4 linked regions of the Saccharomyces cerevisiae S288C genome follow. Changing the gene in region 4 together with the main gene of any one other region gives a genetic interaction. Each region holds a gene or a part of one and is shown on either strand. Other genes may lie near its edges.

The links.
Region 1: of ADE2 (region 4) and ADE8, changing one suppresses a phenotype caused by changing the other (phenotypic suppression), as found in Saccharomyces cerevisiae (one study listed by BioGRID).
Region 2: of ADE2 (region 4) and ADE4, changing one suppresses a phenotype caused by changing the other (phenotypic suppression), as found in Saccharomyces cerevisiae (2 studies listed by BioGRID).
Region 3: of ADE2 (region 4) and HAP1, changing one enhances a phenotype caused by changing the other (phenotypic enhancement), as found in Saccharomyces cerevisiae (one study listed by BioGRID).

Annotation. Positions count from the first base shown.
Region 1 is NC_001136.10:1,287,715-1,294,205, forward strand, and holds ADE8 (phosphoribosylglycinamide formyltransferase), read right to left. Parts: upstream 1,146-6,491; coding exon 501-1,145; downstream 1-500. Other genes in the region: TRAPPII-specific subunit TRS120, read right to left, coding at 1-224; SUMO ligase SIZ1, read left to right, coding at 1,692-4,406; STE14 (protein-S-isoprenylcysteine carboxyl O-methyltransferase), read right to left, coding at 4,658-5,377; DFM1 (Dfm1p), read right to left, coding at 5,655-6,491.
Region 2 is NC_001145.3:864,926-872,559, reverse strand, and holds ADE4 (amidophosphoribosyltransferase), read left to right. Parts: upstream 1-5,468; coding exon 5,469-7,001; downstream 7,002-7,634. Other genes in the region: YME2 (Yme2p), read left to right, coding at 1-2,487; ATP-binding cassette Fe/S cluster precursor transporter ATM1, read left to right, coding at 2,933-5,005; DYN3 (dynein light intermediate chain), read left to right, coding at 7,210-7,634.
Region 3 is NC_001144.5:642,097-652,791, forward strand, and holds HAP1 (Hap1p), read left to right. Parts: upstream 1-4,318; coding exon 4,319-8,827; downstream 8,828-10,695. Other genes in the region: CQD2 (Cqd2p), read left to right, coding at 531-2,240; NDL1 (Ndl1p), read right to left, coding at 2,308-2,877; YLR255C (uncharacterized protein), read right to left, coding at 3,504-3,857; YLR256W-A (gag protein), read left to right, coding at 9,021-10,343. UniProt on the Saccharomyces cerevisiae protein: Regulation of oxygen dependent gene expression. It modulates the expression of Iso-1 (CYP1) and Iso-2 (CYP3) cytochrome c.
Region 4 is NC_001147.6:562,124-570,002, forward strand, and holds ADE2 (phosphoribosylaminoimidazole carboxylase ADE2), read right to left. Parts: upstream 4,069-7,879; coding exon 2,353-4,068; downstream 1-2,352. Other genes in the region: GTPase-activating protein RGA1, read left to right, coding at 1-2,070; AFI1 (Afi1p), read right to left, coding at 4,754-7,435; ORT1 (Ort1p), read right to left, coding at 7,806-7,879.

The sequences.
Region 1 (6,491 bases), on a different chromosome or scaffold from region 4:
TCTATGGTCAAGAAGTCGAAAAATAACTTCCCATGTGGAAAGCCTTGCGGTGTGAAGATAGGGCTGTCAATGGGGGTTACATCAGACAGATGAATTTCGTTGAATTCAGAAAGTTTCTGTACCGCATTATTAAACTCTTTTCGCGTCCAATGGCCAATTGGTATCACTAAGGTCCTAATCTTAGATGGGCCAACATAGCTTGGGAAATGCTTAAGAATATTCATGGTTTTTGTCTCCCTGTAACAGGTTGTGAGCCGCACCTTAAACCAGTTATACTAGAACCGTTTAAACTACAATCTGGCCTGATTTTAGTTTTGCAATAACACGATTAAGCGTTTACACATGCACATTCATATATAAGTATACGTATTTACACACATTTTATTCGAAACCTTTAAGATCGTTTTGTCACAATCCATGATCATGATTTACGACGCGAGATGTTTCGCGCCTCACTTTGAAGAATGCCAAATATAAAAGTATAAATATGGGAACTATTCTTATTTGTGAAGCTGCTGTAAAACCTTATATGTAGCTTCTACAATCGCGATGTGCTCAGCATCGTGTACCCTTTGCTCGTACTGCTCTAGTGTTTCTTCGCCAGGTATGATTTCTAGCTTTTTTACCACCAATGGCTCACCCTTGTCGACCTCCTCGATGACATAGTGCACCATGCATCCGGCCGTCAGAGGCTTGTTCTCGTCCTGACATTTGCGCCATGCCATTTCAATTGCGTGTGTGGTACCATCGAAACAACCTGGTAGCGCTGGATGCAGATTTAATATCGGCACAGATTGCAGTTGGCTCAAGAAAGTAGATCCAAGGATCAATAACCAGCCCGCGCAGATGATAACGTCAGGCTTTTCCTCGAGCACTAGTTTTGCGAGGTCGTTCTCAAACTGGGATCTTGCCTTGGCCCTTGCGGCTTTGTCCTCCTTCGCAATACCCTTTGTATATGGGTATAGCGAACAAACCTTTGTGGGGATATTATTGTCCGCTGCCCTAGTTAACCCGTATGCCTTCTTGCTGGAAGATATGACAGAGACAATATGAGCATCCTCGCCTAATTGGCCCTGCTTTTGGGCATCGATCAAGGCTTGCAAGTTGGAACCTGAGCCCGAAATTAATACGACAATTCTGGCCATAGCTTTTGGAAAGATTATTGATGTGTGTTGGCTCTCACCTGCGCTTGCTGCAAGTTAAATCATCAACCTTGAGGCTAGGAGCGTTATTCAACTTTAGAAGTGTCTTCTCTTCATAAACTACTCTATATAACTTTCCTCTTGCTGGAATAAAAAACAGGTCAGAGTCACTAGCAACGAGTCACTCATTCGAATCCTTGCTGACGCTTTTAGTCTTTATGCTGAAATCTATCTTCGAAGTCGGAAGGAAAATGCATTTTTAAACTATCACTAGAACTACCATTTTAGAGCGAGCAGAAGGTTCCTCTTTTCTTAAACAAGTATAATTTTCCTTTTTGGATTGTACTTTATATTCTTACACTAAACGGCCCCTAGATGTCACCTGAGCTGTAGTCAATGTATACACCCATTCACCGCACCAGATAGTAAGTTGAAAAGTGTATCATCTTTAATATGAATATGAAAGAATGAAGTGGAGTTCATCCATATTTCACAAGAAAAGAAGACTCCAACTCAAACAGTTGAGTGTTCCATATACATTCTGTTTCAATGATAAATTTAGAGGATTACTGGGAAGATGAAACGCCTGGGCCTGATAGGGAACCGACTAATGAACTAAGAAACGAGGTGGAGGAAACCATCACTCTGATGGAACTGCTGAAAGTGTCCGAATTGAAGGATATTTGCAGGTCTGTATCTTTCCCGGTTTCCGGTCGCAAGGCCGTTCTACAGGACCTTATCAGGAATTTCTTGCAGAACGCTTTAGTAGTAGGCAAGTCTGATCCTTATAGAGTTCAAGCCGTTAAATTTCTGATAGAACGGATCAGAAAGAATGAACCTTTGCCTGTTTATAAAGATCTTTGGAACGCTTTAAGAAAGGGTACCCCATTGAGTGCTATCACAGTACGTTCTATGGAGGGGCCTCCCACGGTGCAGCAGCAATCACCTTCCGTTATTAGGCAGTCTCCCACTCAACGGCGGAAAACGTCTACCACATCTTCCACATCTCGTGCACCACCACCTACAAATCCAGATGCCTCTTCTTCTTCATCATCTTTTGCTGTACCGACAATTCATTTTAAAGAGTCTCCATTTTACAAAATACAAAGGCTAATCCCTGAATTAGTGATGAACGTGGAAGTCACAGGCGGAAGAGGTATGTGCTCTGCGAAATTTAAATTGTCCAAAGCAGACTATAATCTATTAAGTAACCCGAATAGCAAACACAGGCTATACTTATTTTCTGGGATGATTAATCCATTAGGATCCCGAGGTAATGAACCCATCCAATTTCCATTCCCAAATGAATTAAGGTGCAATAATGTTCAAATCAAAGATAATATAAGAGGTTTCAAGAGTAAGCCGGGCACAGCTAAGCCGGCGGATTTAACGCCTCATCTCAAACCTTATACTCAACAAAACAATGTGGAGCTGATATATGCCTTCACCACGAAGGAATACAAGCTATTTGGGTACATTGTAGAAATGATCACTCCGGAGCAACTCCTGGAAAAAGTATTACAGCATCCAAAAATTATTAAACAAGCCACGTTACTTTACTTGAAAAAAACACTTCGGGAGGATGAAGAAATGGGCTTGACTACCACATCTACTATCATGAGTCTGCAATGTCCAATTTCGTACACAAGAATGAAATACCCTTCAAAATCAATAAATTGTAAGCATCTGCAATGTTTTGATGCATTATGGTTCCTACACTCCCAACTACAAATTCCTACGTGGCAATGCCCAGTATGTCAAATTGATATAGCTTTGGAAAATTTAGCAATTTCCGAATTTGTTGATGACATTTTACAGAACTGTCAAAAAAACGTTGAACAGGTAGAACTTACTTCTGATGGTAAGTGGACAGCCATATTGGAAGACGATGATGACAGCGACAGTGACAGCAATGATGGTAGTAGAAGCCCAGAAAAAGGTACTTCAGTATCGGATCATCATTGTTCTTCTTCACATCCAAGTGAACCGATTATCATAAATCTCGATAGTGATGATGACGAACCAAATGGAAATAATCCTCATGTTACTAATAATCATGATGATAGCAACAGGCATAGTAATGATAACAATAATAATAGTATCAAAAATAATGATAGTCATAATAAAAATAATAATAATAATAATAATAACAATAATAATAATAATGATAATAATAATAGTATCGAAAATAATGATAGTAATAGTAATAATAAACATGATCATGGTAGTCGCAGTAATACTCCCAGTCATAATCATACTAAAAATTTAATGAACGATAATGATGACGATGATGATGATCGACTTATGGCGGAAATAACTAGCAATCACCTTAAAAGTACTAATACAGATATTCTAACTGAAAAAGGTTCAAGTGCACCCTCGAGAACCCTGGATCCAAAAAGTTATAACATAGTTGCTTCAGAAACTACTACTCCGGTGACAAACAGGGTTATTCCTGAGTACCTCGGAAACAGTTCCAGTTATATTGGTAAACAATTGCCGAACATTCTGGGAAAAACGCCTTTAAATGTGACTGCTGTTGATAATTCATCCCACTTAATCTCTCCAGATGTTAGCGTATCATCCCCAACGCCAAGAAACACCGCTTCAAATGCAAGTTCGAGCGCTCTCAGTACCCCTCCCTTAATAAGAATGAGTTCATTAGATCCCAGGGGATCCACTGTTCCCGATAAAACAATAAGGCCTCCCATAAATTCCAACAGTTATACTGCATCGATATCAGATTCATTTGTCCAGCCTCAAGAATCTTCAGTTTTTCCACCACGTGAACAGAATATGGATATGTCCTTTCCTTCCACCGTGAACTCAAGATTTAATGATCCACGTTTGAATACCACAAGATTCCCTGATTCAACATTGCGTGGGGCAACTATTTTGTCGAATAATGGGCTTGATCAAAGGAATAACTCTCTACCAACAACAGAAGCAATCACGAGGAATGACGTCGGGCGACAAAATTCTACGCCTGTACTTCCCACGTTGCCCCAGAACGTCCCAATTCGTACAAACTCTAACAAGTCTGGGCTTCCTTTGATAAACAATGAAAACAGTGTCCCCAATCCTCCCAACACTGCAACCATACCGTTGCAGAAGTCCAGACTCATTGTAAATCCATTCATTCCAAGGAGGCCTTACTCTAATGTACTGCCCCAAAAAAGACAACTTTCTAATACATCCTCAACTTCACCCATAATGGGTACATGGAAAACGCAAGATTATGGAAAGAAATACAACAGTGGTTAAAAACGAGGCTAAAATTGGACGGTTCCGTCCAGCTCTTTCATGAAATATTTTCTTTGTAATTGTGCATATGACCTTCATTTTCTATAATTTTCCGTTCGAAAAAGAAATATTTTCTTCTTTTCAATACTCAAAGGCAATATCACTGTTTGCATTCCCCTAGCATTTATTACCTACCAAATACAGATGCACAAGATTAGATAAAATCTTACATAACACAAAAATCCAGTCCATAACTAACACAATCATTACTATTATATAAAAGGTATTCCGACACCAACCTTATTCTTGTATTCTATGTATTCCGCGCTAAAGAACTCTATCAAATATTTTTCTTCCACACGAATTCTATCACTGAAAAATTTCCAAAGTACAAAAATGAAAATAACCAATGATAGGGGATTTAGAAGCAGTAGCTGAGTGCCAATTGCCCACCAAAAGAACCCAAGATAACTTGGATGTCTTGACCAGGAGTAAACGCCAGTTTTCACTAAAACATGATCGGACTCCTTCTTGGTCTTCACAATATGAGAAAAGGAATGTCCCGCAGTATGCATAGCAATAGTTCTGGTATATTGTCCCAGAATAACTAGAAGACATCCAAGTACTGTACAAAGCTTGGTAGCTAGAGAGTAGCTAAAAATTTTCAGATCAGGAAAAAGAAAGCTTTCTACGAGGCATTCCAGAATAGCAAAGGAATGTGCCGCCATGTAACTTTTGCCGTTGTTCAGAAGAAAGGACTCTGAATGTACCTTAAGAGGATTGTATTTAGCTGTAATATAATACTCCAAAAAATGGAATAAGGACAGGGCAATAATAAAGAGGTTAAAATTCTTGAATCTAATTTGTGGAAAAAGACCAACAAATATACCTAAAAGAATCCCCAGTATGTAGGAAGTCATGGTCACCTCATGCAGCGGATTGCGTCTGATGTCTGGATACTCATGCTCGTCTTCTTGAAAATCTTGGTGCATGTTGTGTTCAAAAACGGTGACCACAATGAAAGAGGAGGTAAAAAGAGTAATTATCTTGAAATCGATTTTCACTTTCTTATATAATTCATCAACACGAGAACCTTTCTATATACTGGTGGTATCATGTAAAGAATTGTTTTACCATAGTGGCCCATTTGTCAATTCGTCTTGAGTGATGTTTCATTATCAATCGGTTGCTATGCCAACGAAAATACTATGTCAGACTCTCTTGATGTATATAATGAATGGCAAAGTACATAGAAATAGATAAAAGTTGTTATTGTGAGTCGGAGGGGCTGTTTGTTTGTCCTACTCGTTGGCCGCGGCCTTGAAATTGGTTCAAATTCGATGGGCCACTTCTTAATTGACTTCCAGAAGCTCTGCCTGAATCTGTGCCACTGGTTTGAGACAATGTTGCAGGGGCCGTACCCAATCGTTGACCTCTTCCACTAAAAGTTCTCGTTTCTCTTTGCGAAGATGGCACATTGGCAAAGTTGTTGTTGAATGTTGCAGTTTCATTGTGGGCACCCGTTATGCGAGCATATAGACTAGTAAACCACCATGGCGTTGAGAATTTCCCATTGGGCGAGATTCCGTAGGTTGGATCAGCTTTTCTGGATATCATCCCCCATATTGGCCCCAGTGTATGGGTATCTAAGCATGTATAAAGGTACCCTGTAGTAAAACCGATCAATGAGATTACGAAATCACCCTCATTAAAAACGAAAGAGATAAACAATTGAATTAAGGGGAAGTACTTCCCCCAAACAGGAATCAAACCATAAAACATGATCTGCACGTTGGCATTGTCGATCGACCAAGTATATGTAATGCATGATATGAACCCAGAGGTGAGCACAACAGGGTAGTAGGACCCATAAATGATTGTAGTGGCCGTAGTGATGGCTAGTATACAAAAGCACAGGTAGTAGGCATAGTCTACTGTTACCATCGGTCCTCGTCTATTGGACAAACCGGGACCAAAATGCCCTCGCTCCAACTGTGAGGACCTGTCATAAATACTATATAGTTCCATTAGCGCAGGCATGGCACGAGACGAAAGCATTACACAAGAAGTAAGAAGTCTCCATATCTGAACCTTCTTGAACGTCAA
Region 2 (7,634 bases), on a different chromosome or scaffold from region 4:
ATAGGCATCCTCAAGGGCAAATATAGACTAGCGAACCTGATGAATGCCCAACCCTCAGTGAGACATGTGTCGAGCGAGATCCAGCAAAAGGATCAGCAGGCAGGAGAGTCAAACACCGCCACCGATACTGGTGTTATTCACAAATCAGATGAAGAAACTCTGATATATTTCGATAATGTTTACGCTAGAACCACCTCGGTTTGGAATCCAACACTGTGGTACAATCTCCTGCTAAGAAACCAGTCACGGGATGCAGTGAGGGAGAAAATAAGGAATTTAGCCAGTCCACCCAATAACCCCATTTATGGACTGGAGTTGAAGTCTACCATTCCAGTGAAAAGGGATGGTGGTGTATTTGCCACATTTGTCGTTCCACCCAAGTATACAAAAGCTCAGGTAAATTCTCTAATCCAACAGAATACAGCCAGAGAATCCTCTAAAAACTTACTCTCGTACTTCACTCGAGCTTCTGCCTTCCCAGTAAAGGGTTCGCCTTGGATTGAGGATTTAAGAAGACTACCAAGTACCACTATAGTCATCAAGTTCCAAGGGCCCGCCTTAACAGAAGAAGAAATATACTCTTTATTCAGAAGATATGGGACAATTATTGATATTTTCCCTCCCACTGCTGCTAACAACAATGTGGCAAAGGTAAGATACCGTTCATTCCGTGGTGCCATTTCTGCCAAGAATTGTGTTTCCGGTATCGAAATTCATAATACCGTCTTACACATACAATACGAAAATATCAGAAGAGGCCATCTAGTTAGTAATTTTTTCACCAACCATACAAGGATTGCTATTCCAGTTTTATTTGCGCTACTTTCAATCTTTGCTGTTTTAGTGTTTGATCCTATAAGAGAATTTTCGATTGAACAGAAGATCACTCACAAATATTCTTTATCGTGGGACAATAAGTTTTGGAAACAACTGAAAACGCTAACCTCATCTACCATGACTTCTATCAAGTACTACTGGGGCGGCCCTGATGATAATCACCAAAGAAAGCATTTATGGGAGGAAAGAATAGAGAAAGTGAATGACCTGAAAATGTGGCTTGAAGAAAATAATAATACTTTTGTGGTTATAAGGGGGCCTAGAGGTTCAGGGAAACATGATTTGGTCATGCAACACACTTTGCAAAATAGAGCAAATGTTTTGTATTTGGATTGTGATAAATTGATTAAGTCCAGAACAGATCCTATGTTTTTAAAAAATGCCGCTAGTCAATTGGGTTATTTCCCAATATTCCCATGGATTGACTCTGTCACAGGTGTCCTTGATTTAACAGTGCAAGGATTAACAGGGCAAAAAACTGGGTTGTCTGAGACGAAGGAATCTCGGTTTAGAAACATGTTAACTACCTCATTGATGTCCATTAGACGTATTGCTCTCAAGAATTACAAGGCTTTTGTTTCCACCGGTGATGGGACAGTTAATGTTAAGGAAGAAGATTACCTACAGCAACATCCGGAAGCTAAACCCGTTATCGTCATAGATAGGTTTGAGGGCAAGTCGGAAATAAATGGATTTGTGTATAAGGAACTATCCGATTGGGCAGCTATGCTAGTTCAAATGAATATTGCTCATGTGATTTTCTTAACGGAAACCGTTGCATCCAACCAAAGATTGAGCGAATCACTACCCAATCAAGTCTTCAAAAACCTAATCCTATCAGATGCCTCAAAAGAGAATTCGAGGAACTATGTATTATCCCAATTGGAGGATTACTTATATTACAATAAAAAATCCAAGGGTGAAAACGTAAAAGAACCTGAATCAGAAAAGGAAACTGCTGAAAATAATGATTCTGATAGTGAGGCCGATACGAGTGTCAAAAAAGCTGAGGTTATTTTAAATGAAAAGGAATTACAGGAAATTGACGCTTCTTTAGAGCCATTGGGTGGTAGGATGTTAGACTTACAGGCATTTGTAAGAAGGGTAAAGTCAGGAGAAGAGCCCTCGGAAGCAGTAGACAAAATGATTGAACAGGCTTCTGAGCAAATAACTCAAATGTTTTTAAGTGACAAGATTGACAGCAATAAAAGTGCACAAGCCTGGGAATTAATCGAATTATTGAGTGCGAACCCAGTCATTCCATTCCATGAAATCGTTAACAAGCCATTATTCAAAGCCGCACCAGAAACGGGAATCATGGAATTGGAGAATAATGGTTTAATAACTGTATCTAGAGATAGGGGTGTTTTACAGGAAATCAGGCCTGCCAAACCGCTATACAGGGCAGCATTCACATACTTGATCAACGATCCTGAACTCGCAAAAGTGCTAAAAACCCGTTACTTATTAAAGGTTGTGGGTTTTGAAACTGGTAGAATCAAGAAATGGGAAGAAGAATTAAAACCTTTGGGGAAAGTTCCTGATCAGAAACTTTTCAAGACCAGATTGGACTATTTATCCGGTAAAATCAATGCCAGTAATGCAGTCATTACCAAATGTGAAGAAGAAATTAAAAACCTATCTAAGTGATGAAACAAAACTTACTATTCTGCTTTTCTGTACATATGTGTAAACCCTATATTGCTATACTCATCTATATTCTTTTGAAAATGTATAAAAGTGACGATTGGAGATGGTGCAATTTTCTACGCAGCATGAAAAATATCTAAGGAAGGTAAGGTACATACCAAGTAAGTCTTATAATATGTTGTTGTACCTCACTTTACCATTCTTAAAGTCTTTAAAAGAAATTACCTTACCCAATTTGCACAGCAAAGGTCACTGACCTATACGTGCCCTTCATCAGATTACATCACGTGAAATTTCACTGGGAAAGAGCGCGAGGGCTTTCCGATGACTTTCTACATTAATAATCGCAAACAAAGCAATCAGCACAGCAAAGAGTACAATTTCGAAAATTGCGACAGAGCAACGTAAGTATATCGTTGTTGATAGATTCCACTCCAACCTGCAAATGCTGCTTCTTCCAAGATGTCCTGTAATTGGGCGAATTGTAAGATCAAAATTTAGATCTGGTCTAATCCGGAACCATTCGCCCGTTATATTTACTGTGTCTAAGTTATCAACCCAGCGGCCTCTGTTATTCAATTCAGCTGTGAATTTATGGAATCAAGCACAAAAGGATATTACGCACAAAAAATCCGTCGAGCAATTCTCGTCGGCTCCAAAAGTGAAGACTCAGGTAAAAAAGACCAGCAAGGCCCCAACCCTCTCGGAACTGAAAATCTTGAAAGATCTATTTCGCTATATTTGGCCCAAAGGCAACAATAAAGTGAGGATAAGGGTACTGATTGCCCTTGGACTGTTGATATCCGCCAAAATTTTAAATGTTCAAGTACCTTTTTTTTTCAAGCAAACTATTGATTCAATGAATATAGCATGGGATGATCCTACAGTCGCCCTTCCGGCAGCGATTGGATTAACCATTCTTTGCTATGGTGTTGCAAGGTTCGGCTCTGTTTTATTCGGCGAACTGAGGAACGCCGTATTTGCCAAAGTGGCACAGAATGCCATTAGAACTGTGTCGCTACAAACTTTCCAGCACCTTATGAAGTTAGATTTGGGATGGCACTTGAGTAGACAAACGGGTGGTCTGACGAGGGCCATGGATAGAGGTACAAAGGGTATATCTCAAGTGTTAACGGCCATGGTATTCCACATTATCCCTATAAGTTTTGAAATATCTGTCGTTTGTGGGATTTTGACGTATCAATTCGGTGCGTCATTTGCCGCAATAACATTCAGTACAATGCTTTTATACTCCATTTTCACTATAAAGACGACCGCATGGAGGACACATTTTAGAAGGGATGCTAACAAGGCCGATAACAAAGCTGCCAGTGTGGCTTTAGATTCTTTAATTAATTTTGAGGCGGTAAAATACTTCAACAATGAAAAATATCTTGCAGATAAGTATAATGGCTCCTTGATGAACTATCGTGACTCTCAAATTAAAGTATCGCAATCTCTAGCATTTTTGAACTCCGGCCAAAATCTAATTTTTACTACTGCCCTAACTGCAATGATGTATATGGGTTGCACCGGCGTTATTGGTGGCAACTTGACAGTTGGTGACTTGGTTCTAATTAATCAGTTGGTTTTTCAACTATCAGTACCGCTAAATTTTCTTGGTAGTGTTTACAGAGATTTAAAGCAGTCTCTGATTGATATGGAAACGCTATTTAAGTTAAGAAAAAATGAAGTCAAGATTAAAAATGCCGAACGTCCCTTAATGCTTCCAGAAAATGTTCCCTACGATATTACTTTTGAGAACGTCACGTTTGGATATCATCCCGATAGGAAAATTTTAAAGAATGCCAGCTTTACCATCCCAGCAGGCTGGAAAACCGCAATAGTTGGGTCTTCGGGCAGTGGGAAGTCCACCATTTTAAAATTAGTCTTTAGATTTTATGATCCTGAAAGCGGAAGGATCCTCATAAACGGTAGAGATATTAAAGAATATGACATCGATGCCTTGAGGAAGGTGATTGGTGTGGTACCACAGGACACACCACTTTTCAATGACACTATCTGGGAAAATGTAAAGTTCGGTCGTATTGACGCAACCGACGAGGAAGTGATAACTGTAGTTGAAAAAGCCCAGCTAGCACCCTTAATCAAGAAATTACCACAAGGTTTTGACACCATCGTCGGGGAGCGAGGGTTGATGATCAGCGGTGGTGAAAAGCAAAGGCTGGCAATTGCAAGGGTACTATTGAAGAATGCAAGGATCATGTTTTTTGACGAGGCCACAAGCGCCTTGGACACACACACAGAACAAGCTCTCTTACGAACCATTAGAGATAACTTTACTTCGGGTTCGAGAACGAGTGTATACATCGCACATAGACTGAGGACAATTGCAGATGCAGACAAGATCATAGTCCTTGACAACGGAAGAGTAAGAGAGGAAGGTAAGCATCTTGAACTGTTGGCTATGCCAGGGTCATTGTACCGCGAACTTTGGACCATACAAGAAGATCTGGATCATTTAGAGAATGAACTAAAAGACCAGCAAGAACTATGAACGCTCGTAAGTAAATATTGATTTATACATGTATAAGTTTTTCAAGATTTAAGGAAAAAAGAAAAGTTATTATCTTTCTCCGCGGTTTTTCAATGACCCGATGTATTGACTCTTCCTGACCGAAAATAACAGGACAGAGTTAGAACGAACATGAATAATAAAATATAATCTGGGATCATGAATCCGAATGACTGCTCATGCGGCAAATGTCAGAGCTTCGGTGTATTTAAAGTTTGCTTACTTACAATTTCAATAATAGGTTTGTACTTTTCAGATTCTTATTATTAAGTCAAGGTAAAGTCCTTCGTTTTTTTTTTTTTCATTTTAGAAAAATTTCAACAGCCACCGTACAATTTTATTCACTTTTAAGTCATAGTTGCGAAGACATCGTCTTGAAAGTAGTAGATTTCGTTCTAATAAGTTTAGCAAAGAAAGAGGTACAGCAAACAGCAGAATAGAAAAAATGTGTGGTATTTTAGGTATTGTATTAGCAAACCAAACCACTCCAGTAGCTCCGGAGTTATGTGATGGATGCATTTTTCTACAACATCGTGGACAAGATGCAGCTGGTATAGCTACCTGTGGTTCTCGTGGTAGAATCTACCAATGTAAAGGTAATGGTATGGCTCGTGACGTATTTACCCAACAACGTGTTTCCGGTCTTGCTGGTTCCATGGGTATTGCCCACTTGAGATATCCTACAGCCGGGTCTTCGGCTAATTCAGAAGCGCAACCATTTTACGTCAATAGTCCTTACGGTATTAACTTGGCACATAACGGTAACTTGGTGAATACTGCATCATTGAAGAGATATATGGATGAAGACGTTCATAGACATATTAACACGGACAGTGATTCGGAGTTACTATTGAATATTTTTGCTGCTGAACTGGAAAAACATAACAAGTACAGAGTTAACAATGAAGATGTTTTCCACGCGTTAGAAGGTGTTTACCGTTTATGCCGTGGCGGTTATGCTTGCGTTGGTTTACTTGCCGGTTTTGCATTATTTGGTTTCAGAGATCCAAATGGTATTAGGCCATTATTGTTCGGTGAAAGAGAAAATCCGGACGGCACTAAGGACTATATGTTAGCTTCAGAAAGTGTTGTTTTCAAAGCTCACAACTTTACTAAATATCGTGACTTAAAGCCTGGCGAGGCAGTTATCATCCCTAAGAACTGTAGCAAAGGTGAACCTGAGTTCAAACAAGTGGTTCCTATTAACTCTTATAGACCTGATTTATTTGAATACGTATATTTCGCCAGACCGGACAGTGTCTTGGATGGAATATCAGTTTATCACACAAGATTGGCTATGGGTTCTAAATTAGCGGAAAATATTCTAAAGCAACTGAAGCCAGAAGATATTGATGTTGTTATTCCCGTCCCAGATACTGCAAGAACATGTGCACTAGAATGTGCTAATGTGTTAGGGAAGCCTTATAGAGAGGGCTTTGTTAAAAACAGATACGTGGGCAGGACATTTATCATGCCAAACCAGAGGGAAAGGGTTTCTTCAGTAAGGAGGAAGCTTAACCCTATGGAGTCTGAATTTAAGGGTAAGAAGGTTCTGATAGTGGATGATTCTATTGTCAGAGGTACTACTTCAAAAGAGATTGTTAACATGGCCAAGGAATCCGGTGCAACAAAGGTTTACTTCGCTTCAGCTGCCCCAGCCATTCGTTACAACCATATTTATGGTATTGACTTAACAGACACAAAGAACTTGATTGCTTATAACAGAACCGATGAAGAAGTGGCGGAAGTAATCGGTTGTGAAAGAGTCATTTACCAATCATTGGAAGATTTGATTGATTGTTGTAAAACTGATAAAATAACCAAATTCGAAGATGGTGTATTTACCGGAAATTATGTCACTGGTGTTGAAGACGGTTATATTCAAGAATTGGAAGAAAAACGTGAATCGATCGCAAATAATTCATCAGATATGAAGGCTGAAGTCGATATCGGATTATATAATTGTGCAGATTATTGATAGATTGTTCCGAACTTGTTCAGTTGTATGTAAAATAGTTTCCAAATGCGCCCATTTATACATAATTATCTTTGTATTCTGACCTAAACTAAATATATATATATATATGCACGTATTAAAAAAAAAAATAAAAGCAAAAAGGTAAACAAAGAGAAGTAATCCGCAACTTGTACAAAAAGAAAAGAAGATAAAAGAATTGTATGTATTAATGGATAATTGTAATGCCTGGGACAAATTATTGTCTCAGAATGAATCCACAATCAACAGCACAGAGACTGCTACGATAACAGCAATCATATATTCCCCATCAAGTAAAACACTGCATCAATTTATAAATATCTGTTTTCCAGAGGGAAGCAATTCAATACTGGATACCACTTTGATTAATTACGCCACCATAGGATGGACCAACGACTTAAAGGAAAATTATTCTGTCGATGTTTACACGCTAATAAGAAACACTGACGATGCACTAGATCTTCTAAAGCCGTTTTTACAAGAACATAGTTCGAAGGTTCGCTGGCTCATATTATTAGATTGGACACTGAACGACCAAAAGTTGTGGCTGAATGAACTATCCTACGCATTCAATAAAATTAAGCAACTGAATGACGATAATGAATTTTCTGTATG
Region 3 (10,695 bases), on a different chromosome or scaffold from region 4:
AACTAGCATATTTATCAGACCTTGTTCCTTGGGGTACTGGAACAGCATATACCTAATAGACTTTCGGCAGAGAGCAGACCAACTTCATAAATATTTGAGTCACCAAAGTTGGCTAGCAATCTGCTTTTCCTTTACAGATGTGCTTGGTCAGGAACAATTTATTTAATTACATTCGTACTTCTTTTATAGAGGAAATAGTAGCTAACATTTCACTATTGCGGTCATGCCTGTTGTTCTTCAGCTACCGTTTATGCAAAGGTGTTTAATTAGGTGTGAGACTTAAGTGGGCCTTTTAGTACCACTGTGGGTTCTGGACCTTTATATAATATTTCATTTTTTCAAAGGTTTTTTCATATGCCGTTAAAAGAGGTCAAAACATAGACCCGAGGAACATATCTTGTAAATCGCTGCGTTATGTATGCATATTGTACTCCTACCTTCGTAACTGGAAAGAATCAGTCTGAAAGTTTATTGAGCCTGAAACGGAGCAAGATTATAGTTGAATGTTTCTTATTCGGTGTTGATAGTAGATGATGACCAAAGCTTTTTTTAACAAACTACCGTTTGAGGTATTCCGTCGGTACGTTAGGACAGGTAAAAGCATCCCTCAAAGAAGCCCCAGGACAAGAAAATCTCTTCTGGTGGGTGGGACTATTGCATCAGCAGTAGTTTTGTACAACTTTAATGACACTTTTCATGATTCTGTAAAGCACACGGCACTGACGACTAAAAGAATCGCTGTCGTCACACAAGCTACCACTCGTTGCTTCTACCATTACAAGAGGGCTCTAAATAAAAGCTATGAGAACAAAAAAGAACGAGAAGTTGCCTTAAATAAATGTCATAAGATGTGTGCCTTAATCACGTTGCATGCGCTACGATCGAATGGTGGGATATATATCAAATTAGGCCAGCACATTGGGGCCATGACCTACCTGTTGCCTAAAGAATGGACGGATACAATGATACCGTTGCAAGACCACTGTCCCGAATCCACCTACGAAGAAATTGATGAGTTATTTAAAGAAGATCTAGGCACCAGCATTGAGGATATGTTTTTAGAATTCAACAAAACCCCGATAGGTGTAGCTTCCTTGGCACAGGTTCATGTGGCAAAACTAAAAAATAGTGACGGTAAAGGTTCTAGTGTAGCTGTCAAATGTCAGCATCCATCGTTGAAGGAGTTTATACCATTAGATGTTATGCTGACAAGAACAGTGTTTGAACTGCTGGATGTCTTCTTCCCTGATTATCCGTTAACGTGGCTTGGTGATGAGCTTCAGTCTTCAATCTACGTGGAACTGAATTTTACCAAAGAAGCTGAAAATGCAGAAAAAACCCGTCATTATTTTAGTAAGTTCAAGAAGCAAACAGCATTGAAAATACCCAAGGTCATTGAAAGCCACAAAAGAATTTTGATTATGGAATATGTTGGAGGCAAAAGGTTGGATGATTTGGAGTACATTGACAGTCACGGTATCTCGCGCAGTGAAGTTTCGAGTTGTCTCTCTCATATTTTCAATAACATGATTTTTACTCCCAATGTAGGTATTCATTGTGATCCTCATGGAGGAAATCTGGCCATACGATCTGTTAAGCCCGCTAAAGATAATGGATACCATAACTTTGAAATTGTTTTATTTGACCACGGACTCTATAGATATCCTAGCACGAGAACAAGAAGACTTTATGCCAAATTTTGGTTGTCGCTCCTATTCGACAAGGACCAGACAAAAATGAAGAAGTATGCCAAAGGATTCGCAAACATCACCGACGAACAGTTTCCCCTTTTAGCGGCTGCAATTACGGGCCGTAGCATTGATGCTGCTTTGAATTACGACATTTCAACGAGTCGAACACAAGAAGAAATGGACGTCATGGCAAATGGGATCTTGGAAGGAACGTTACTGAGCGACTTGATGAGCATTTTGTCTAGAATCCCTCGTGTAGTGCTTTTGATATTGAAGACTAACGACCTAACCAGACATCTTGATGAATGTCTACAGAATCCACTCGGGCCAGAGAGGACTTTCCTGATCATGACGCAATACTGCGCCAAGACGGTCTACGACGAAAAAGTGGAAAGAATTAATTCGGAGTATGCGAGGTGGTCTATTAAATGGATGTGGGAGAACTTGACAAACTGGATAGTCTATGAGAGGCGTATTAATCAATTGTATTTTTATGATTTTGTGTTGTGGTGGAAAAAATTTATTCCGAAGACTTGGTTGTCATCTTAAATCGTTAGCGTTCTTTCTACTTGTAAATATATACGTAAAATTATATATAACAATTTTATATGTGTCATTAAACGGAAGACGTTGTTGCTATCACAGTGGATTGTGTTATTTGGGTATTTGGAATATTACAGTGACTTCTTGCAGCGTTGTTAGTTTTTGCCATGTTCTGCAAGTACAAGGTTGAAGATGTGGTCGAGACTTTGATAGTATCCTTAAACAACTTCATTTTTTTATTTTGACTGGGTAACGACCTGGTGTTCCTTCTAGTCTCACCGCTAGTGGCTTCTTCTTTGCTGACTCTTAACTTTTGCAGCGCCTCTTTGGTGTCGAGTAACTCGTGTTCCAGTAGAACGTTGCGTTCCAGTCGTCGGTCACTCTCCAATTGTAATGTCTCTATCTTATTCCTCAGTTGGATATTTTCATTTTCCAACTCATCTACCTGTATCTCTAAATCTGTTATCTGTTTCTTATTGCACTTATTTTGTTGTTGGCTCTCAAGAAGATCGCTTTTTAACTTTGATATTACTTGTTCCAAATCATTTTCATATTCTTTCGTGGCGCCTTCAAGCTCGCTCAACTGGGTCTCCAGTGAGGAGATTATCTGTATAGCTGTTTCCAAATCCAAATTCGGCACCATAGGAAAGTCGCAATTGTTGCACGTATATGTCCCTTGGATATTCCAATTAAATTTGCGAGGATTGTTCTTTCGGCCGTTCGTGGTTTGTTGTAGCCCTTATTATCCCTCTTTTTCATCCTTAATTGCAAATTTATGTATGAAAACTTTCATTTCTAATGTTATTAATTTTCCCGATTCTGCAAACTAATTGATAAAATAATTGATACTTGCCGTCACAGATGATATAGAGAACGTTCAGTTTTTTTATTGTTCTATTGTAAAAAAAAAAAAAAAAGGAAGAAAAAAGCAAGATCCGATAGGAGAAGACCTCTTTAGCGGCTTTACTGCGCTACAAATAAGGTTACGAATATGCGGAATAGTTCATGATACGTTGTTGAGTTATAGTATGTAGCCAATATTTCCTGTTTTTCCGCTGTTACCCTTTTCGAAGGATCGATGAACGCTTCTGTCACTTAGTAAGCAAATGTACGAAACCCAGAGCATTGTATGTACACCAGCAGTCGTTTTTTGTAGCTCTTTTCCATGGATGGACGATGATGGCAAGACGCGATCGTGGCGGAGCCTCACTAAGAAAAACAATTGTGGAGAATCTATACACACAGAAATCGTACTTCAAGAAATATTGATTAGCGAGCCTTTAAGCACAGAACAATCTCTATAGCCAACATCTTGTGGAAGCTACAACTGTTTTTCTTGTTCCCGCTTGAGTAGGGCCTTACAAGGCAAGACCGTATAAAATAAAGATAACTCCTCCGCCGTATCCTGAATTTCGTGTGCCCTTTCTCTCTCTCTCTCTTCCTCTTTCTTCCTTTCCCTTTCCCTCTTCTTCTTATCTCAACAACCGCCCAGCGCATTAGCAAACCACAGTACGAGCTGTACGGCTGAGCCACTGCACCTGTCTGGCTTGCCCCTTTTTGTTGAGTAACCGGGTAATAATTCGGCTGTCTAAACGATACAATCCTCGTTCCACCCACACCCATTCACCCGTCGGGCGAAATCCACCCTCGCGGCCTCGTTTAGAATACCAGGCAACGGCACCAGCAACGGCCCCGGTAACTCGATCGCGTTCATATATATCGGATATACTCTTGAGGCACAATTTTTTTCGGTTTTCGGTTTTTTCTATTATTCTTCGAGATGCAAAGCACACATTTGAGACTCACAACTCAAGATACCGCAAGCACACAGACGCTATTGTTCTCCCAAAGAATAGGTTCCTGCAGTGCTCTTTTAAGGTTTGAAGATATTGCACAAAATTGTATCTGATTTCATCTCATCGAACCTCATTCCATCAACTTCCTTTTATCAAAGCATCTTGTTTTGTTTTCGCAGAAAATTTTTCTTCCCTTTCAATTTGGCCTTTTAGTTTTTCTCCAGTCGCAGGCAAGAAGGTAAGGAAATAGAAGAAAAAGAAAAAAAAAAAAAGGGAACAATAGGTTAGATGTCGAATACCCCTTATAATTCATCTGTGCCTTCCATTGCATCCATGACCCAGTCTTCGGTCTCAAGAAGTCCTAACATGCATACAGCAACTACGCCCGGTGCCAACACCAGCTCTAACTCTCCACCCTTGCACATGTCTTCAGATTCGTCCAAGATCAAGAGGAAGCGTAACAGAATTCCGCTCAGTTGCACCATTTGTCGGAAAAGGAAAGTCAAATGTGACAAACTCAGACCACACTGCCAGCAGTGCACTAAAACTGGGGTAGCCCATCTCTGCCACTACATGGAACAGACCTGGGCAGAAGAGGCAGAGAAAGAATTGCTGAAGGACAACGAATTAAAGAAGCTTAGGGAGCGCGTAAAATCTTTAGAAAAGACTCTTTCTAAGGTGCACTCTTCTCCTTCGTCTAACTCCTTGAAAAGTTACAACACTCCCGAGAGCAGCAACCTGTTTATGGGTAGCGATGAACACACCACCCTTGTTAATGCAAATACAGGCTCTGCTTCCTCTGCCTCGCATATGCATCAGCAACAACAGCAACAGCAGCAACAGGAACAACAACAAGACTTTTCCAGAAGTGCGAACGCCAACGCGAATTCCTCGTCCCTTTCTATCTCAAATAAATATGACAACGATGAGCTGGACTTAACTAAGGACTTTGATCTTTTGCATATCAAAAGTAACGGAACCATCCACTTAGGTGCCACCCACTGGTTGTCTATCATGAAAGGTGACCCGTACCTAAAACTTTTGTGGGGTCATATCTTCGCTATGAGGGAAAAGTTAAATGAATGGTACTACCAAAAAAATTCGTACTCTAAGCTGAAGTCAAGCAAATGTCCCATCAATCACGCGCAAGCGCCGCCTTCTGCCGCTGCCGCCGCTACCAGAAAATGTCCTGTTGATCACTCCGCGTTTTCGTCTGGCATGGTGGCCCCAAAGGAGGAGACTCCTCTTCCTAGGAAATGTCCAGTTGACCACACCATGTTCTCTTCGGGAATGATTCCTCCCAGAGAGGACACTTCGTCCCAGAAGAGGTGTCCCGTTGACCACACCATGTATTCCGCAGGAATGATGCCGCCCAAGGACGAGACACCTTCCCCATTTTCCACTAAAGCTATGATAGACCATAACAAGCATACAATGAATCCGCCTCAGTCAAAATGTCCTGTGGACCATAGAAACTATATGAAGGATTATCCCTCTGACATGGCAAATTCTTCTTCGAACCCGGCAAGTCGTTGCCCCATTGACCATTCAAGCATGAAAAATACAGCGGCCTTACCAGCTTCAACGCACAATACCATCCCACACCACCAACCACAGTCCGGATCTCATGCTCGTTCGCATCCCGCACAAAGCAGGAAACATGATTCCTACATGACAGAATCTGAAGTCCTCGCAACACTTTGTGAGATGTTGCCACCAAAGCGCGTCATCGCATTATTCATCGAGAAATTCTTCAAACATTTATACCCTGCCATTCCAATCTTAGATGAACAGAATTTCAAAAATCACGTGAATCAAATGCTTTCGTTGTCTTCGATGAATCCCACAGTTAACAACTTTGGTATGAGCATGCCATCTTCATCTACACTAGAGAACCAACCCATAACACAAATCAATCTTCCAAAACTTTCCGATTCTTGTAACTTAGGTATTCTGATAATAATCTTGAGATTGACATGGCTATCCATACCTTCTAATTCCTGCGAAGTCGACCTGGGAGAAGAAAGTGGCTCATTTTTAGTGCCCAACGAATCTAGCAATATGTCTGCATCTGCATTGACCTCGATGGCTAAAGAAGAATCACTTCTGCTAAAGCATGAGACACCGGTCGAGGCACTGGAGCTATGTCAAAAATACTTGATTAAATTCGATGAACTTTCTAGTATTTCCAATAACAACGTTAATTTAACCACGGTGCAGTTTGCCATTTTTTACAACTTCTATATGAAAAGTGCCTCTAATGATTTGACTACCTTGACAAATACCAACAACACTGGCATGGCCAATCCTGGTCACGATTCCGAGTCTCACCAGATCCTATTGTCCAATATTACTCAAATGGCCTTTAGTTGTGGGTTACACAGAGACCCTGATAATTTTCCTCAATTAAACGCTACCATTCCAGCAACCAGCCAGGACGTGTCTAACAACGGGAGCAAAAAGGCAAACCCTAGCACCAATCCAACTTTGAATAACAACATGTCTGCTGCCACTACCAACAGCAGTAGCAGATCTGGCAGTGCTGATTCAAGAAGTGGTTCTAACCCTGTGAACAAGAAGGAAAATCAGGTTAGTATCGAAAGATTTAAACACACTTGGAGGAAAATTTGGTATTACATTGTTAGCATGGATGTTAACCAATCTCTTTCCCTGGGGAGCCCTCGACTACTAAGAAATCTGAGGGATTTCAGCGATACAAAGCTACCAAGTGCGTCAAGGATTGATTATGTTCGCGATATCAAAGAGTTAATCATTGTGAAGAATTTTACTCTTTTTTTCCAAATTGATTTGTGTATTATTGCTGTATTAAATCACATTTTGAATGTTTCTTTAGCAAGAAGCGTGAGAAAATTTGAACTGGATTCATTGATTAATTTATTGAAAAATCTGACCTATGGTACTGAGAATGTCAATGATGTAGTGAGCTCCTTGATCAACAAAGGGTTATTACCAACTTCGGAAGGTGGTTCTGTAGATTCAAATAATGATGAAATTTACGGTCTACCGAAACTACCCGATATTCTAAACCATGGTCAACATAACCAAAACTTGTATGCTGATGGAAGAAATACTTCTAGTAGTGATATAGATAAGAAATTGGACCTTCCTCACGAATCTACAACGAGAGCTCTATTCTTTTCCAAGCATATGACAATTAGAATGTTGCTGTACTTATTGAACTACATTTTGTTTACTCATTATGAACCAATGGGCAGTGAAGATCCTGGTACTAATATCCTAGCTAAGGAGTACGCTCAAGAGGCATTAAATTTTGCCATGGATGGCTACAGAAACTGCATGATTTTCTTCAACAATATCAGAAACACCAATTCACTATTCGATTACATGAATGTTATCTTGTCTTACCCTTGTTTGGACATTGGACATCGTTCTTTACAATTTATCGTTTGTTTGATCCTGAGAGCTAAATGTGGCCCATTGACTGGTATGCGTGAATCATCGATCATTACTAATGGTACATCAAGTGGATTTAATAGTTCGGTAGAAGATGAGGACGTCAAAGTTAAACAAGAATCTTCTGATGAATTGAAAAAAGACGATTTCATGAAAGATGTAAATTTGGATTCAGGCGATTCATTAGCAGAGATTCTAATGTCAAGAATGCTGCTATTTCAAAAACTAACAAAACAACTATCAAAGAAGTACAACTACGCTATTCGTATGAACAAATCCACTGGATTCTTTGTCTCTTTACTAGATACACCTTCAAAGAAATCAGACTCGAAATCGGGTGGTAGTTCATTCATGTTGGGTAATTGGAAACATCCAAAGGTTTCAAACATGAGCGGATTTCTTGCTGGTGACAAAGACCAATTACAGAAATGCCCCGTGTACCAAGATGCGCTGGGGTTTGTTAGTCCAACCGGTGCTAATGAAGGTTCTGCTCCGATGCAAGGCATGTCCTTACAGGGCTCTACTGCTAGGATGGGAGGGACCCAGTTGCCACCAATTAGATCATACAAACCTATCACGTACACAAGTAGTAATCTACGTCGTATGAATGAAACGGGTGAGGCAGAAGCTAAGAGAAGAAGATTTAATGATGGCTATATTGATAATAATAGTAACAACGATATACCTAGAGGAATCAGCCCAAAACCTTCAAATGGGCTATCATCGGTGCAGCCACTATTATCGTCATTTTCCATGAACCAGCTAAACGGGGGTACCATTCCAACGGTTCCATCGTTAACCAACATTACTTCACAAATGGGAGCTTTACCATCTTTAGATAGGATCACCACTAATCAAATAAATTTGCCAGACCCATCTAGAGATGAAGCATTTGACAACTCCATCAAGCAAATGACGCCTATGACAAGTGCATTCATGAATGCTAATACTACAATTCCAAGTTCAACTTTAAACGGGAATATGAACATGAATGGAGCTGGAACTGCGAATACAGATACAAGTGCCAACGGCAGTGCTTTATCGACACTGACAAGCCCACAAGGCTCAGACTTAGCATCCAATTCTGCTACACAGTATAAACCTGACTTAGAAGACTTTTTGATGCAAAATTCTAACTTTAATGGGCTAATGATAAATCCTTCCAGTCTGGTAGAAGTTGTTGGTGGATACAACGATCCTAATAACCTTGGAAGAAATGACGCGGTTGATTTTCTACCCGTTGATAATGTTGAAATTGATGGTGTTGGAATAAAAATCAACTATCATCTACTAACTAGTATTTACGTTACTAGTATATTATCATATACGGTGTTAGAAGATGACGCAAATGATGAGAAATAGTCATCTAAATTAGTGGAAGCTGAAACGCAAGGATTGATAATGTAATAGGATCAATGAATATTAACATATAAAACGATGATAATAATATTTATAGAATTGTGTAGAATTGCAGATTCCCTTTTATGGATTCCTAAATCCTCGAGGAGAACTTCTAGTATATTCTGTATACCTAATATTATAGCCTTTATCAACAATGGAATCCCAACAATTATCTCAACACCCACACATTTCTCATGGTAGCGCCTGTGCTTCGGTTACTTCTAAGGAAGTCCACACAAATCAAGATCCGTTAGACGTTTCAGCTTCCAAAACAGAAGAATGTGAGAAGGCTTCCACTAAGGCTAACTCTCAACAGACAACAACACCTGCTTCATCAGCTGTTCCAGAGAACCCCCATCATGCCTCTCCTCAACCTGCTTCAGTACCACCTCCACAGAATGGGCCGTACCCACAGCAGTGCATGATGACCCAAAACCAAGCCAATCCATCTGGTTGGTCATTTTACGGACACCCATCTATGATTCCGTATACACCTTATCAAATGTCGCCTATGTACTTTCCACCTGGGCCACAATCACAGTTTCCGCAGTATCCATCATCAGTTGGAACGCCTCTGAGCACTCCATCACCTGAGTCAGGTAATACATTTACTGATTCATCCTCAGCGGACTCTGATATGACATCCACTAAAAAATATGTCAGACCACCACCAATGTTAACCTCACCTAATGACTTTCCAAATTGGGTTAAAACATACATCAAATTTTTACAAAACTCGAATCTCGGTGGTATTATTCCGACAGTAAACGGAAAACCCGTACGTCAGATCACTGATGATGAACTCACCTTCTTGTATAACACTTTTCAAATATTTGCTCCCTCTCAATTCCTACCTACCTGGGTCAAAGACATCCTATCCGTTGATTATACGGATATCATGAAAATTCTTTCCAAAAGTATTGAAAAAATGCAATCTGATACCCAAGAGGCAAACGACATTGTGACCCTGGCAAATTTGCAATATAATGGCAGTACACCTGCAGATGCATTTGAAACAAAAGTCACAAACATTATCGACAGACTGAACAATAATGGCATTCATATCAATAACAAGGTCGCATGCCAATTAATTATGAGAGGTCTATCTGGCGAATATAAATTTTTACGCTACACACGTCATCGACATCTAAATATGACAGTCGCTGAACTGTTCTTAGATATCCATGCTATTTATGAAGAACAACAGGGATCGAGAAACAGCAAACCTAATTACAGGAGAAATCTGAGTGATGAGAAGAATGATTCTCGCAGCTATACGAATACAACCAAACCCAAAGTTATAGCTCGGAATCCTCAAAAAACAAATAATTCGAAATCGAAAACAGCCAGGGCTCACAATGTATCCACATCTAATAACTCTCCCAGCACGGACAACGATTCCATCAGTAAATCAACTACTGAACCGATTCAATTGAACAATAAGCACGACCTTCACCTTAGGCCAGGAACTTACTGAATCTACGGTAAATCACACTAATCATTCTGATGATGAACTCCCTGGACACCTCCTTCTCGATTCAGGAGCATCACGAACCCTTATAAGATCTGCTCACCACATACACTCAGCATCATCTAATCCTGACATAAACGTAGTTGATGCTCAAAAAAGAAATATACCAATTAACGCTATTGGTGACCTACAATTTCACTTCCAGGACAACACCAAAACATCAATAAAGGTATTGCACACTCCTAACATAGCCTATGACTTACTCAGTTTGAATGAATTGGCTGCAGTAGATATCACAGCATGCTTTACCAAAAACGTCTTAGAACGGTCTGACGGCACTGTACTTGCACCTATCGTA
Region 4 (7,879 bases):
CGAAATGCAAGTGAATTGTTGACCTCGGTATTGCATAGCCCAGTTTCTGTTAATATGAAAAATCCGAAGGGTTCAAATACGGATATTTTCAACACCGGTGAAATATCCCAAATGGATCCTTCGCTATCAAGGAAAGTATTGAATAATATTGTCGAAGAAACAAACGCACTTCAAAGGCCAGTTGTTGAAGTTGTCAAGGAAGACAGAAGTGTTCCTGACCTAGCAGGTGTTCAGCAAGAGCAAGCAGAGAAATATTCCTATTCAAACAATAGTGGAAAAGGCAGAAAAATTTCAAGATCATTGTCACGAAGGTCCAAAGATTTGATGATTAATCTAAAATCCAGAGCCACAGGCAAACAGGATAGTAACGTTAAACTTTCACCTGCTTCTAAAGTGACATCTAGACGCTCACAAGATTTAATGAGGGATAATGATTCACATACCGGCCTTGACACACCAAATTCTAACAGCACTTCTTTAGATATTTTGGTGAATAATCAAAAAAGCCTAAACTATAAAAGATTTACCGATAATGGCACTCTTAGGGTGACTAGTGGAAAGGAAACCGCCCTTGAAGAACAGAAGAATCACAGTTTTAAATCTCCGTCACCAATTGATCATTTGTTACAATCGCCAGCTACACCAAGTAATGTATCCATGTATCGAACTCCGCCTTTAGATAGCTCATTGACATTTGATAGGCGGAATGGGTCTTCATACAGTAACCAAAATTATAGCATACCTAGTTGGCAGAAAACTCCAAAGACCCAATTGGAGAATAGCGACAATTTTGAGGAACAGAAGGAAACACTTTACGAAAATAGCGAATCTAGAAACGATCCCTCGCTTGATAAAGAAATTGTCACGGCAGAGCACTATCTGAAGCAATTAAAAATAAATTTGAAAGAACTTGAATCTCAAAGGGAAGAATTAATGAAAGAGATCACTGAAATGAAGTCTATGAAAGAGGCTCTACGCCGACATATTGAATCCTATAATAGCGAGAAAAATAAACTATATCTTGACTCCAATGAATTATCAAATAATCCACCGATGATAAATGAAATCAGCTTAGGTGAGTCGCCACCCGTGAAACATGTTGCAACTGCAAGTTCTGTAGCGCGAAGTTCTGTTAAACCAAAATTTTGGAAGTTTTTTTCATCTGCAAAGCCACAGACCGAGCAATCTATACAAGGTGTCAGTACAAATAATACAAATTCCATCGTTAAAAGTGCCCCAGTTTTGCTTTCTGCTCCCTCATCTGGTAGTAATTCCGGCCGTTTAGAAATTTCACCACCTGTGCTACAAAATCCTAATGAATTTAGTGACGTTAGATTAGTACCTATCGAGAACGATGCAAATATGGGACAAAGTAAAGATGGAGAAGAATATTTGGATGGAAGCAATTTGTATGGTTCAAGTCTCGTTGCTAGGTGCAATTATGAAAACAATGAAATACCGATGATACTATCTGTCTGCATAGATTTTATTGAATCAGACGAAGAAAATATGAGATCGGAGGGCATTTATAGAAAATCAGGTTCCCAGCTAGTCATAGAAGAAATAGAAAAGCAATTTTCTGCATGGAAAGTACAACAAAATACCGAAACGCCAAATATTTTAACGGAACAAGATCTCAACGTTGTTACTGGTGTGTTGAAGCGATACTTAAGAAAGCTCCCCAACCCTATCTTTACCTTTCAAATATACGAGCCGTTGATGAGGTTAGTTAAATCTAAAAAAATGATGGAAAACTTGCCATTTGTTGGAGGAAAGTTGTCCTTAGAAGCAAAGAATTCGGACACTTATATGTCGAGCAAGAGCGCTTTAAAAAACATATTGGAAGACCTTCCAAGGGAACATTATAGGGTGTTAAGAGTACTGAGTGAACATATAGAAAAGGTTACACGGTACAGTCACTGGAATCGAATGACGCTTTATAATTTGGCTTTAGTTTTTGCTCCAGGTTTGATTCGTGATTTCAGTGGAGAAAAGGATATTATTGATATGAAAGAAAGAAACTATATTGTCGCATTTATATTTGGGAACTACAAAGATATCCTGACGTAGCGCTATCCTCGGTTCTGCATTGAGCCGCCTTATATGAACTGTATCGAAACGTTATTTTTTTAATCGCAGACTTAAGCAGGTAATTATTCCTTGCTTCTTGTTACTGGATATGTATGTATGTATAATAAGTGATCTTATGTATGAAATTCTTAAAAAAGGACACCTGTAAGCGTTGATTTCTATGTATGAAGTCCACATTTGATGTAATCATAACAAAGCCTAAAAAATAGGTATATCATTTTATAATTATTTGCTGTACAAGTATATCAATAAACTTATATATTACTTGTTTTCTAGATAAGCTTCGTAACCGACAGTTTCTAACTTTTGTGCTTTGACAAGAACTTCTTCTTCTTGCTTTAATAAAAACTGTTCCATTTTCGTTGTATAACTTGAATCATAAGCGCCAAGCAGTCTGACAGCCAACAGCGCAGCGTTCGTACTATTATTAATAGCGACGGTAGCTACTGGAACACCTCTAGGCATTTGCACAATTGAATGTAAAGAATCTACTCCATCTAGACAAGAACCTTTTACGGGCACACCGATGACAGGAAGTGGTGTCATTGCAGCCACCATACCTGGCAAGTGAGCAGCCCCACCAGCTCCAGCGATAATTGTTTTAATTCCACGCTTGCTTGCGGAAATAGCATATGCTGACATCCTATGTGGAGTTCTATGAGCAGAGACTATTGTCACTTCAAATGGAACGCCAAAATCTTTTAAAACCGCACATGCGGCAGACATTACCGGCAAGTCAGAGTCTGATCCCATGATGATTCCAACCAATGGTTTGACCATTGCTTCCAAGTCCAACTTTTGAGCGACAGAGATTTTGATTGGAATATCAGTTCTACCTGTAATGTAGTTCAGCCTTTGTTCACATTCCGCCATACTGGAGGCAATAATATTTATGTGACCTACTTTTCTGTTAGGTCTAGACTCTTTTCCATATAAGTACACTGAGGAACCTGGAGTCGCCAATGCTCTTTCGCAAGTTTCTAGCTCTTTATCTTTTGTATGTTTGTCTCCAAGAACATTTAGCATAATGGCGTTCGTTGTAATGGTGGAGAAAGATGTGAAATTCTTTGGCATTGGCAAATCCAATATTGATCTCAAATGAGCTTCAAATTGAGAAGTGACGCAAGCATCAATGGTATAATGTCCAGAGTTGTGAGGCCTTGGGGCAATTTCGTTAATAAGCAATTCCCCTGTTTCTAAATAGAACATTTCCACACCAAATATACCACAACCGGGAAAAGATTTGATTGCATTTTCTGCCAACAACTTCGCCTTAAGTTGAACGGAGTCCGGAACTCTAGCAGGCGCATAACATAAGTCACAAATATTGTCCTTGTGGATAGTCTCTACAATTGGGTAAGAAAACACTAAACCGTTAACAGATCTCACAATCATGACTGCTAATTCTTTAGTAAATGGTGCCCATTTTTCGGCGTACAAAGGACGATCCTTCAGTACTTCCAAAGCTTCCGGAATCATTTCCTTATTCTTTACAACGAAGTTACCTCTTCCATCGTATGCCAAAGTCCTCGACTTCAAGACGAATGGAAAACCCAAATCTCTTCCAACATTCAATAGGGACGTCTCACTGGCTTGTTCCACAGGAACACTTTGGGTAACTGCTATACCATTTTTGATTAAATGCTCTTTTTGAATATATTTGTCTTGTATCAATCTGATTGTTTCTGGAGAAGGGTAAATTTTTAATTTGGGATGTTTTACTTGAAGATTCTTTAGTGTAGGAACATCAACATGCTCAATCTCAATCGTTAGCACATCACATTTTTCAGCTAGTTTTTCGATATCAAGAGGATTGGAAAAGGAGCCATTAACGTGGTCATTGGAGTTGCTTATTTGTTTGGCAGGAGAATTTTCAGCATCTAGTATTACCGTCTTAATGTTGAGCCTGTTTGCTGCCTCAACAATCATACGTCCCAATTGTCCCCCTCCTAATATACCAACTGTTCTAGAATCCATACTTGATTGTTTTGTCCGATTTTCTTGTTTTTCTTGATTGTTATAGTAGGATGTACTTAGAAGAGAGATCCAACGATTTTACGCACCAATTTATACATGAAATGCTCCATAATATTGTCCATTTAGTTCTTAATAAAAGGTCAGCAAGAGTCAATCACTTAGTATTACCCGGTTCGTAGCCATGCAACAAGAGTCATTTGTCAGCATAGCTGTAATAATCAATCATGACGTAAGAAATGTATCATAATTAAAAGTTGTTAAAGATGTCAGTGTTATGTTGGTGTTACAAAATTCTCGGCTTCTCACTAATATTTAATATCTCTTAAATTTTATCTGTCTTTGATTCTTTTAAGAAAAGTTATGTATTATTCAAGAAAAAGTCAATTCCGCATCAAAAGGTAAAATTTATATAAACTGCTTTAAAATTTCATGAAACTAGGCAACTTTTCGAAATGATCTTTTTCGAGCATGAAGTTTCTTTTATAATAACCTGGTCAAAAGCTTTCAATATATAATACATTTGGTATTTACGGAAATGAGATGATATACTGGTAGTGCGCTAGTCAAGTTCTAATTAAATTAAAATGCAAAATAGTAATGTCAGATGGACACATTGGGCGAAATAGCTAACCCATAAGCATGAATCCTGTAACTTATGTAATACGTTAATCACGATACGGCGTTACTAGTCTTCCTTTTGAGTGGTTTCTAATGTAGATTCTTGTTGTTCGTTAATTTGCTTCAAGCCGTTTAGCATTCCTGATTCGTTTGAAGATAGAGGAACAGATGCGCCAGCGAAAGATGATGATGCAATGGTAGAGGAAGTGTTGGTCGAATCTCCCTTTTTGGAAATAAAGTGTCGTTTTGATTCTAGATAGGCTTCTCGCAATTGATTGTGGAGATACTTCTTTAAAAGGGCCATACCTATGGGATGACATTCTAACCTATAGAGTAATTTCGTAATAGCATAGCAGATTTTTGACGCCCTTCTTTCTAGTAGAGGAGAAGCCCTTAGCTTGGGTGAGATGACTGAGGATGCGTTTGTAAATTCGGGATAATTGGAATTTCCAGTACCCTGCCCATTACCTCCCAGAATCCTTATATTAGGGCGTGTACTCAGTTGTAAAAACTGTCTCAATGAAGAAGATTGAGCAATTCTGGTCAAATACGTTCTTCTCCTGGACAGAGATTTTGTGAAGGGCAAATCCTGCCCACTTTCTTTTGTAATAAATGTGAGGAAAAACGCCAAGATATCAAAACTGTAAATTTGAGTAAAAAGATCTATTGCTGATACTATAACACCGTGGGGATCTTTTTCGATGCCCATATAGCTGTTAAAATTATCGAAACCCTGACGCACTTCGCTTTCAAAACTCCACCTAGAAATATTATCACCGTGTAACTGAGCTGTGGGTAATATTTTGAACGGAGAATAGTTCAAACAAGCGTTTAAAAACTTCTCAATGTTTGTCCTGCTTACCGATACCATGCGAAACAGCTCTTTAACAATGTCCAATATTTGGCTTAATTGGGAATATATTTGCTCTGTGGAAAATAACTGGCATGTGTTTCCTAAGCTAAATAAACAATTATCCAAGTTAGACAATAGTTCAATACTATGCAGTGTAAAATAATCAAAGAACTCCGGGAAAATGAAAAAATCTTTATAAAACATGATATATTCATCTTTTAGTGCTATATTAGGTGGAATTTCTCGTCTTTTCAAAGCGTCCAGAAGGTTTTCCAACTGAAGAACATTCAGCCTTCTCAAAACGCTCATGATAGTATCACTATCATGATATTCGTCGATAAGAAGAGAAAAGAGCTTCTGGCCCAAGTTTACCTGACTTTCGTTGACTGCGTTGGTTGAGAAATGAGGCCTATTGAATATCTTTCTCAAAGGGTTAGGCCCAATCTTCACTTCTGCCACTGTATCTGGCTTTTCTTTTTCTGGACTATTATTTTCATAAAACACTCCCTCATCCACATCGTAGTAATAATCCCAGATATCTAACTGGTATCGGAAAATTGGATTGGCAGTTCCGATAATTGCAAAGCATCCGACAAAATCACTATTCGATGCTACATACGCCCGCAAACCGTCAACAAGAGAAATGTCCATATAGGGAAAAATCAACGCAGCATTTCCTTTGAAGTATGATTGTGGATCGCTAGCATAAGTTGCCGTTATGTTGGCTAATGACAAAATAAAAGCGCATAGGTCTTCTTTACTCAGTTTAGTTGAATTGATGACTAACTTCCATGCATTAACTTTTTGTCCGGCTTTAAGAAGGTAAGGGACAAATTTATCCAAAAATTTTAAAACTAGTTCATTATAATCATTTTCAATATAAATAGGCTCTCTTCTAATCATATTAAATTGCAATGGGATTTTTAACAAAAATGGCGGGAGCGTCTTTGGCTGAAATCTTGTAAAATGATATTGAATGAGTTGGTCATGAAAAGTCACAATGTTACCATACTTGTCCTTAGTGTCAAATCCATTGATGCAAAAGAGTTTCTTTAAAGTGGAATCCGGGTCTAAAAATACTTTGGTAATGATAGATTCGTCATGGATAGAGTGTAGCACTTCTTGTATACTACTTTTGGAATGTATGTCATTAATCAATGTAAGGTCAATACTGTTTAGCATATTAAAGCAATCAAGCAGTATGTCTGTAGCAGCAGCTTGAGTGGGAGCTTTCATATACAAGTCTAACACTAATACAATAATATTTTTGAATGCAAAGAAGGTTTTTAATGGTGTTCCGATGGCAATCGACTTGATTACTGCCCCTCTATCGTTCGTGGTGTCTAATACTGTGTTGGCGACATTTATGAAAAATAAAGGTTCGTTGTCGATGGCTTTCTGATTATTCTGAACTTCCTGGCATTCGAGCTCATCATCTTCCAAGACAATAGTGTATCTATTATTTTTTGCATCTTGATGATTTTCGGCATCGTAATATATGCTATTGGTAACACTACCATCTGACTGTTCACGATGATGCAGATTGAAACTGAAACGAGGGTCTTTTGGCACAGGAAAGAGTTGATAGTTTTGAGTAAACTTATTGTAATAAAGGGTAAACACTGTAATATCTTGTTTGCCGGGATTTCTCTCTATGCTACTCGGTATCATTAAACTTGCCAAGTTCATAGACACCGACGTATTGCCGTTGCGTTGCTCATGTGAGAACTGATTGAAACCTGGAATATCTTTCGGGTATTGGTGCTTCAAAATAGGACCTAATTTATTATCAAATTCTGCGGATATTATATAGCTGACATTCGGCCTTTCAAAAGGAAAGGATTCATTTTCTATCGACCTGTTGCTGATAGAGTTATTTAGTTCTCTTCGCAACATCCGGTAGCCAAAAATGTTTGCGTACCAAAGACTCTAACAGTGGGCGGTACTATGCTTGATCTTGATTTTATAGAGCTTGCACTTTTATAGAAGAACCATTGCTACCTAGACAGTTTTTTTTGTTTACATTCGAATCATTTTTTTTTTTGCATTTAGTTAAATCCGAAGTCCTGACTAGATAATTTACTGTCAGAGAATAGTAGCATCTATGCAAGAAACTGGTATACAATAGTCGAGAGGTTGTTGTAAAAAACACAAAATACTAACACAAAGCCTGGCTGTTGAGATTGTGCGACATTCTTGATCAGTAAATGGTATTACAGACTGTCTATCAATGTTACATACTTGCTTATTACACGATTTATTGTATTTAAAGTGCAGAAAGAGTCTCAAAGATGTAAAAAACTGCAGCGTTTGCTGGTACTGCCCTAAAAAGGGTTATAC